2 linked regions of the Macaca mulatta genome follow. The protein of the gene in region 2 purifies or fractionates together with the protein of the main gene of each other region. This does not show direct contact. Links are inferred from orthologs where the notes say so. Each region holds a gene or a part of one and is shown on either strand. Other genes may lie near its edges.

Region 1 (4,405 bases), on a different chromosome or scaffold from region 2:
AAAAGTGAAACCTCAGATGAGGGGGGACTAATAGGAGTTGGAAACCTAAGTAGGAAGGTCTAGTAGACAGCTGGAAAACCCTGAGGGAGATTTATAGATTTGGGAATTACGATATGGTAACTGAAAATACCAGAAATGTATGTCTAAGATTTCAAGCGATGTATCTGCTGATATTGCATGCAAACTAAGTGGTTTTTCCACAGTGAGCTTAGAGTTTTTATCAAATTCTCAAATATTAAGACGACCAATACAGATGGTACCAATATACAGCTGATCCTCAAACAACACAGGTTTGAACTGTGTGGGTCCACTTAGATGCCAATTTTCTTTACCCCCTGCCACAACTTAGAGAGCAAAACCAACTCCTCCTCTTACTCCTCTTCATCAGCCTACTCAGTGTGAAGACAAGGATGAAGACCTTTACGATCATCTAATTCCCCTGAATGAGTAGGACTTTCTCTTATTTATGATTTTCTTAATAACGTTTTCTTTAGCTACTTTATTATAAGAATACACTAACTAATACATGTAAATACAAAATATGTGTTAATCAACTGTTTACAGTATCAGTAAGGCTTCCAGGAAACAGTAAAGTTTTGGGGGAATCAAAGTTATATTCAGATTTTGAATTTCATGTGATTTGGTGCCCCAAACCCTGAGTCGTTCAAGGATCAAATGTAGACGGTAACATAAGTCATGGGAGGAGAGAATGAACTCCCCTAAGAAGAATGTGTAGAGACAGCAGAAGAGAACCCTGAATATCATCAACATGTGGCCAGCCACGGTGGCTCACACCTGTAATCCCAGCACTTTGGGAAACTGAGGTGAGAGGACAGCTTGAGCCCAGGAGTTCAAGACCAGCCTGGGCCACGCAGGAAGACTTCCATATCTAAAAATAAAAAAATTAGCCAGGCCTTGTGGCATGTGCCTGTGGTCCCAGCTACTAGAGAGGTGGAGGCAGAAGAATCACTTGAGCCTGGGAGGTCAAGGCTGCAGTGAGCCAGGATGTGCCACTGCACTCCAGCCAGGGTGACAGAGTGAGATCCTGTCTCGGGGGAAAAAAAAATGAAGGACTGGGAAGAGGATGAGGACAAGGAGAGCCCAGAGAAGCAGATGGAACATCAATGTCAAGGAAACTCAAGGGAGAGTTTCCAACACAAGTAGTTTTGTGTCAAAACTACAACAGCTGCTGGAATTGACGAGATTGTCGGTGACCCTGGTTAGAATGGTCTCACAAGTGTGCTGAGGATAGGGGTCCCCAGCAGTGGGTTGGCTGATAATGAGACGATCAAGTGGAAAGAGTGAGTGTAAATAACTTTTTCAAGAAGTTTAGCTGTGAAGGGGAAGAGAGACAGTAGATGGCAAGGGATATGGAATTAAGGGAGGGATCTTTTAAGATGGGGATGGATTGAGAATGTGGTTTTAGTAGTCAAGAATTTATCATCTGGAGTTAGACATTTGGAGGTTCAACCCAAGTTTCTCCACTTACTATCTAGCCACAGGCAAGCCGGCATTACATGCATCTCCAGGTCTGTTTTGGCAACCGTAAAACAAGAATAATAGTCTTTTACTATTATAAAACACTGCTGTGAGAAATTAAATGAGACAATAATCACAAACTATTTGGTATGGGGACCAGGCATAATGACTTGGGAAAATGTTTAATTACTACTAGTTATAGGAAGAAAGCAGCAGAGAAATTGAAAATATGGGGAGAGGCCGGGCTCGGTGGCTCACGCCTTGTAATCCCATCACTTTGGGAGGCCGAGGCGGGTGGATCACCTGAGGTCGTCAGGAGTTCGAGACCAGCTTGGCCAACACGGTGAAATCCCGTCTCTACTATAAATACAAAATTAGCTGGGTGTGGTGGCGCATGACTGTGATCCCAGCTACATGGGAGGCTGAAGCAGAAGAATCGCTTGAACCTGGGAGGCGGCGGTTGCAGTGAGCTGAGATCGTGCCATTGCACTCCAGCCTGGGGAACAAGAGTAAAAACTCCATCTCAAAAAAAGAAAAAGAAAATACGGGAGGAATGGAAAAGAACGCATTTGTTAAGGACCTTGAGAACCGGGGAATACAGTATCTGGTCCAGAACAAGAGTAGAAGAAATCAGTCTTTGTGGGAAAGGGAGCCAAATCTCCTAACCATTTTCTCCGTCAAACAGGTGGGGAGATAATTTTATGAATGGGAGCTGTGGCGTGGTAAATATAAAGCGTGGACAAGGTTTTAAACGGCTGCAGTAGAGCAGAAGAGAGAGAAGGTAGAAGAACAAATGATAGGTTGCAGAGATACAGCTAGAGTCCACTGAAGGAGAAAAACATGGCCTTTCCAATGCAAAGTTGAGCAATTTTCTCCAACAGTGCCCTGAAGTTCCGATGTAAAAGTCCAGAAGACTGACACCACGTCTGTGAACAGATGCTGAAAGCAGAAGGCGGGAGAGCGCAGTTTCGCAGCACGTGATGGGCAGCGCCTGGCCCAGGGGGAGCAGACGACCGAGACGACGGCCAGCGGGGTTGGCGGCGGCGCGGGGAGGAGGGGGCCAGCTTTGGGAGACCCCCGCCCGTCCCCCTCCCGTCCCGGAGCTTACCAGCAGTCCCTCCACGTTGATGGGGTCTCGGCACCGACGGCGAACCGTCTCCTCCGCGGGGTCCAGGAGGAGACTGGGCAACTTCCTCGCCGGCCGCTGCTGACTCATGCTGCCCGGCCGGGCGTCCCGCTCCCCTCGCACCCCGCGAGCTCTCCCGCCCTCTCGCGCGCAGCTCGATCACCGCCCCCCACGCGCCGATTTCCAAGGGCCCAGAAACTGACGGATCCGCGGCGTCCTCCAAGGCCCCGCCCGGCTAGGCCGTCCCACCCGCCAGCAAACGCGGCACTGCCTCACGTGCCCGGGAACTCCCGACGAAGACGGGAAAGGAGGAGGTAAACCCGCGGCTCTCAAGTAGCCCGGCCCGCCATTTTTCCGCATGCGCAGTGTACCGCCCCCCTCTGCGCATGCCCGCCGCGGCCGGAGCGCTCCCACGCACTGATCCTCTCCCGGCGGCTGGCGCCCGGGAAACCCGGACCGCGGAATCCACGGAGAGGCTGGCAAAGGAAAAGGAAGAGGTGGAGCCGGATTCCAGAGGAAGGGAACGGGGGTGAGAGAAAACAGGCAGCTGGGAAAACGCAGCGCTCGCCTGGAATTCTCGACGGTGATAACTGAAAGCTCTCAGCCGCAAAGATGTTCATTTATTCCTTTTTTTAATTTTAATTTTTTTTTTTTTTGTCGCCCAGGCTGGAGTGCAGTGGCGTGGTCAGGGCTCACTGCAGCCTCGAATTCTTAGGCTCAAGCGATCCTCCCACCTCAGCCTCCCAAGTAGCTGGGACTACAGGCGCGCGCCACTGCGCCCGGCTAATTTTTAATTTTAATTTTAGTAGAGGCAGAGTCTCAGTATATTGCACCGACTGGTCTTGAACTCTGGGGCTCAAGCCATCCTCCCACCTTGGCCTCCCAAGTGCTGGGATTATAGGCATGAGCTACCACGCCCGGCCTTCATTTATTCCTGAGCTCTGTTAGCACATCTTACAGGCGGGTCAGTGTTGATGCTTAGTAAATGTGAGCAACCAAACCATTGTGGTATCGTTTTACTTCTGCCTGCCTGCCTTCTTTCCTTCCTTCCTGCCTTCCTTCCTTCCTGCCTTCCTTCCTTCCTTCCTTCCTCCCTCCTTCCTGTTTGATGAATGAGTTATCGTGGACCTATAGTGTCAGATATTGGGGTGAGCACAGGCGATACTTACTCATTTGGATATGCCACAGGTTCAACCTCCAATTTCAGTGGGGACAGATAAGTAAACAGAGCATGTTAATTAAGCTGGAGCCAGAGGTGTGTTTTCAAATCCTGGCTCCTACTTATAAACCAGAAGACCTTATTAAGCCAGTTACTTAATCTGCCTGTGCCTCAGTTTCCTTATTTGGAAAATGCGAATAATGACAATACTTACCTGATAAGGTTGTTGTGAGGATTAAATGGATTAATGGATACAGGTTGCTGTGATTAGAACAGAGGCCAGCACATGTTTGAAATAAAAAGGTAACACACCGTGGTGTGTACAGAGTTGGAGGGAAACAACCGGTTAGACTGGGGGTTTCTACACAGCCTGAGGTGGGCGAGGTGAGGTAGGGAGAAATCCCTGAAGAAGCTGGCTCCCCACTAGACTATGATGTCAGAGGTCTCTAATCTTTTTTTTTCCCCATTACCCAGGCTGGAGGGCAGTGGCATGGTCATAATTCACTGTAGCATCAAACTCCTGGTCTCAAGTGGTCTCCCAGTTAAGACTCCCACGTAGCTAAGAGTACTGGTGCATGCCACTATGCCCGGCTAATTTTTTAAAATGTATTATTATTTTTTGAACTCCTTACCTTAAGCAA
Region 2 (4,292 bases):
ACAAGAATTGTGTGTGACATATCCCCAAATTTCCACATTCAAAAGTCAGGGATAATACGGTTTTCATCCGGGAATCAGTAACTCATGGGAAAAGCTCAAGATGTCATTCATTTTGGAGACCAGATGTAAAGGAGTAGTATGGGTACTTTGTCTCAAGGTGGAAAGTGCCTTTCTTATGTTTTTTTCCTTCCCATGGGACTTGTTGCATACTCTTAAAATGGCGGCAGGGCAGACACGTTTGCTTGCACAGCTGTGAGCTGCATGCATAAAAGCAGGGATGGTTTTGGCCTAAGGCAGGGATGGTTTTGGTCTTATCCGTTATGGCATCCCCTTGTGGCACATGTTAGGTGTTCAAAAAATATTGGTGGAATGGATGTGATTACACTTCATGCCACAGTATATAAATATGATTTTAACTGGACAGGGAACTGCACAAGTTTCCCATATTGATCCTTTTTGCGATCTTAATTATGGTACTCTGAGCTGGGATACTGCCTAGACTGCCTGGGCTACAACAAACTCTAAAGGGCTTTTACTTTCACGCCCACAGTGGTTGAGGGTTCGCGTTCTGTGAATGCTGGAACCTCACGCGAGTAGCTGAGTAGCGAGGATGGTCACTCCCGGATAAATGAATACAGGATTCTCGCGGCTGGGAGCGGTCGCCCGGCGAGGTCGGTCATCCTGCCTGTCCGGTAACACCACGAAACACCTGCCACTGATACCTCCCCACCAGCTCCCGAGGGTTCGCGCCGGCATCCCGAGCCGCACCCCCTGTTCCGCCGCAGCCGGATTCCCTCCAGGGCGGGTTACGCCCCTAGGCGCAAAACAGAACCACTTCGCATCAAGAAGACAAAGTATAACCAGTCACACCAAAAAGAGGCAGCATTATTTAGACAGCCGGCTACTCCCCCAGAGACTCCACCCAGTCCCCTGGGCCCGGCGTTCAGCGCGCCGACGGTGCCCGGCTCCAGGAGCTCCAGCTCCCTCCACGTGTCCTGTCTTCCCAGCAGCCTCCTCTGCCGCCTCTGGAGGAAAATCTCCTGACAACTCGCGGTCTGCGGACTACGACTCCCAGGAGGCGCCGCGCCGCGGCTCTCCCCGCCCCCTTTCCGGGACGCGCAGGCGCCCTGGGCTCCGTCTACCAGCCTGGCTGGCGACGCCTGGATGCGGTTTCTTCCGGGATTTGTAGTTTTTCTGGAGTTACCCGGGCCGTCTGTCAAAGGGACAAAAACTACAAGTCTCGGCTGCCCCAGCGCTGCGAGCTTGGTCACGTGGCGGGGGCCGACCGGGCGTGCGTGCCGCCGTTGATCCGGTGCTGCAGTGAGGAGGTGGTTCTTGCCCGTGTTGTGTGTGTGTGTGAGTGAGAGAGCGAGTGAGTGAGTGAGTGAGTGTGTGTGTGGGGGGACTCGGCTTGTTGTTGTCGGTGACTTCCCCCTCCCCTTCACCCCTTCCCCTCCCCGCCGCCGCTGCAGTGGCCGCTCCCTGGGCTGTAGGAAATGAGCGATAACGATGACATCGAGGTGGAGAGCGACGTGAGTCCTGGGGCTTCTTCCTTCCCGTGCGGGTTGTCAGGCGGGGACAGCGGCCGGGGCTCTCAGCGGGGCGACGGCGGGAGGGGGCCGGGCCGCCGCCGCCTCCTTCCCCTTCCCCTTTCCCTCGGGGCCAGGACTGCCTCCGTCGCGTTCCCGGCTCGCTCCCCTCCGGCTCCTGGCCGGAGCGGCCTCCTGGGACTGGAGGTGGGGGGAAGACACGCGGCTTCTGGGACTCCCACCTTCTCCCGTGGGGGAGGGTGCTGCGGCCTCCCGCTCCCACCTTCCCGGGCTCAGGATCCGGGGGACAAGGATGGGGGGCGCCCGGGATCCCATTGTCCGGATCCAGGGGAAGGGGACGGCGTTCAGGACCTGCCCCTTCGGAACGCGATCCTCTCCTCCCGTGACCCGCGGATCCTGGGGGGCGAGGAAGGGCGGAGAGGGGTTGGGGGTGCCTAGATGCCCGAGCTGGGTCTGCAGGGAGGAGACAGTGCTCGAGACCCCTCTGGCCCGGGTCGGATCCCGGAAGGAGGGGCGGCGCTCGGGACCCCTCTATCCCGCTACCGGATCCCGCCGAGGGTGGAAGGGTGGGGGCAAGGGGTGGGGAGGGAGGAAGGGGTGTCGGGCTGACTCCCCACCCTCCGCTTCCTCTGCCGCCGGCATTTTCTTTCTTATTATTGAATGTTAAGTGTAAAAATAACTTCTATATTTTCTATTTTTTTTTCTCTCCTATTCCAGGAAGAGCAACCGAGGTTTCAATCTGCGGTACGTCTCCTACTCTCCATTTCATTTTTATTTCCGTTCAGTTCTATTCCTTTTTGGGGTCAGAGAGAAAAAGAGATCGTACTGTTACTTTTAATATTGTAGTAAATCACTAATGTTAACCACTAAGGTGAGGTGGGGCCTGGTTCTGGAGGGTGGGGGAGTTGCAAATCCTATCATTCTAGATTCTCAGGTGATAAGTTCAGTAAGAGGAGCTGTATGCAAAGAATTGAATTGTTCTGTAGTTTTCAAATAGGGGATCCAGCTGCCGCTATGTAAGTGGAAATGAGAAATGCAGCATTCTGAAGTCAGTGGTAGTATTATTTCAGGGCAAAGTGGTCAGAAGATTTATTTAGGAACAAGTAGATTTTAAACCATATCTGTATAATTATGTGAAGCTGAAGCCACATGCAATAATCGCCTTTAACCAAGTCATGTGACTGCTCTAGACCTGTAGAATCTAGCACAATGTGGTATTCTAACACAAAAATTGGAAATGTAGAGGAGCCAAACGTTGCATCATCAAAGTGTCACATAAAGTTATTATGGTCTGATTCTCTGTATTTGAAGAAGAGGTATAAAGAAAATTAAAAAATAGCTGAAGAAAAGTGGCATTGCAGGAAGAGCTTTGCTGAAAGGTGATGGATGAGACCATATAATGTTATCAATAATTTCTTAGGGTTTTGATATTAATGTTCCCAGTAGATGGTTCTGTGGATTTAGATATGCACTAATTTCATGTCTTTGGAGTCTGAGACAGTAATATGGGTTTTTCATGAATAGATTAGAGGGGAAAAAAAGAAAACATATAGAATAAATCAGAATCAGAGGGGAAGAGAAATAAGTATATCAGAGTTCTAATATTTGAAATTGGGAACAGTAGGAAGTGTATAGAATGGGGGTAAAAAATTTGAATGCCCATGAGGGCCATAAATAATAAAGAAAGAAGAGGTGAGGACTTGGGTACTGGAGAGCAATGCCTCTCCTAAAAAGTCAGCCACTACTGAATTCCAGTGGTTTGTTATGTAGGAGTGAAGGGTCAGTATTGCCAGATCTTCCTATTTTTTATTTTATTTTATTTTATTTATTTATTTTTGAGATAGAGTCTCGCTCTGTCACCAGGCTGGAGTGCAATGGTGCTGTCTCGGCTCACTGCAACCTCCGCCTCCTGGGTTCAAGCGATTCTTCTGCCTCAGCCTCCTGAGTAGCTGGGACTACAGGCGCACACCCCCACATCCAGCTAATTTTTGTATTTTTAGTAGAGACGGGGTTTCACCTTGTTGGCCAGGCTGGTCTTGATCTCTTGACCTCGTGATCCGCCCACCTCGGCCTCCCAAAGTGCTGGAATTACAGGCGTGAGCCACCGCGCGCCCAGCTGATCTTCCTATTTTTTAAGAAAGATTAGAAATCCAAAGCGTTATGTTATTTTTCTGATTTTTAAAATGATGTGTGGAACAACTGTTTGGGCTTGTTAGAATTTGCAGGATGTCACTTTGATACCTCTGGTATAAGAACCTAATAACCACAGGATAAAGGCAAGCCATCTCAGTTGTACCTGCTCTTCATTAGAGCAAGCAAAGATTATGCAGGTTGTCTAAGCAAATAGGCATTAAGAAAACTTATTTATTGAGAGCTCGTATTTTCTTAAAATCCGGGGATGTAGTTGTTCCAGAAATCTTACAAATTATCCCTGGGTAATAGTCATTAAAGATAATTTATTTTGTTTTATTTATCCTTGAAGTATTCTCATATACTTATGCATATATTTGAAAATTGAATTTGTTTTTTTCGTTTACTTTTATCCTTCATGTTTGGGGCCTAGTCTGTTGAAAACTTTTTTTTTCCTGCAAGTCTCCAGTTGTAAAATCTGTGCCAGGGCTTGATCAGAGACAGAGGGCAAGGATCGTTAGGCTTCCTTTGCAGAATTATCCTTTGAATTGGAATTATACTGAATCCTAGTAAGAGAAAGTTTTTTTTTTTTTTTGGTGAAATTTTGGCTCA

Evidence for each region. Proteins that work in one complex are often made in the same cells at the same time.
Region 1: the proteins of MAX (region 2) and E2F6 purify together in Homo sapiens (affinity purification with mass spectrometry; 5 studies listed by BioGRID and IntAct, with this or other methods). This does not show direct contact. The link is inferred for Macaca mulatta from reciprocal best matches to the Homo sapiens genes MAX and E2F6.

Annotation. Positions count from the first base shown.
Region 1 is NC_133418.1:113,370,445-113,374,849, reverse strand, and holds the start of E2F6 (transcription factor E2F6), read right to left. Parts: upstream 2,954-4,405; 5' UTR 2,696-2,953; coding exon 2,588-2,695; intron 1-2,587. UniProt on the Homo sapiens protein: Inhibitor of E2F-dependent transcription. Binds DNA cooperatively with DP proteins through the E2 recognition site, 5'-TTTC[CG]CGC-3'. Has a preference for the 5'-TTTCCCGC-3' E2F recognition site.
Region 2 is NC_133412.1:138,199,509-138,203,800, reverse strand, and holds the start of MAX (protein max), read left to right. Parts: upstream 1-1,324; 5' UTR 1,325-1,496; coding exon 1,497-1,532; coding exon of another isoform or gene 1,533-1,736; intron 1,737-2,267; coding exon of another isoform or gene 2,268-2,294; intron 2,295-4,292. UniProt on the Homo sapiens protein: Transcription regulator. Forms a sequence-specific DNA-binding protein complex with MYC or MAD which recognizes the core sequence 5'-CAC[GA]TG-3'. The MYC:MAX complex is a transcriptional activator, whereas the MAD:MAX complex is a repressor.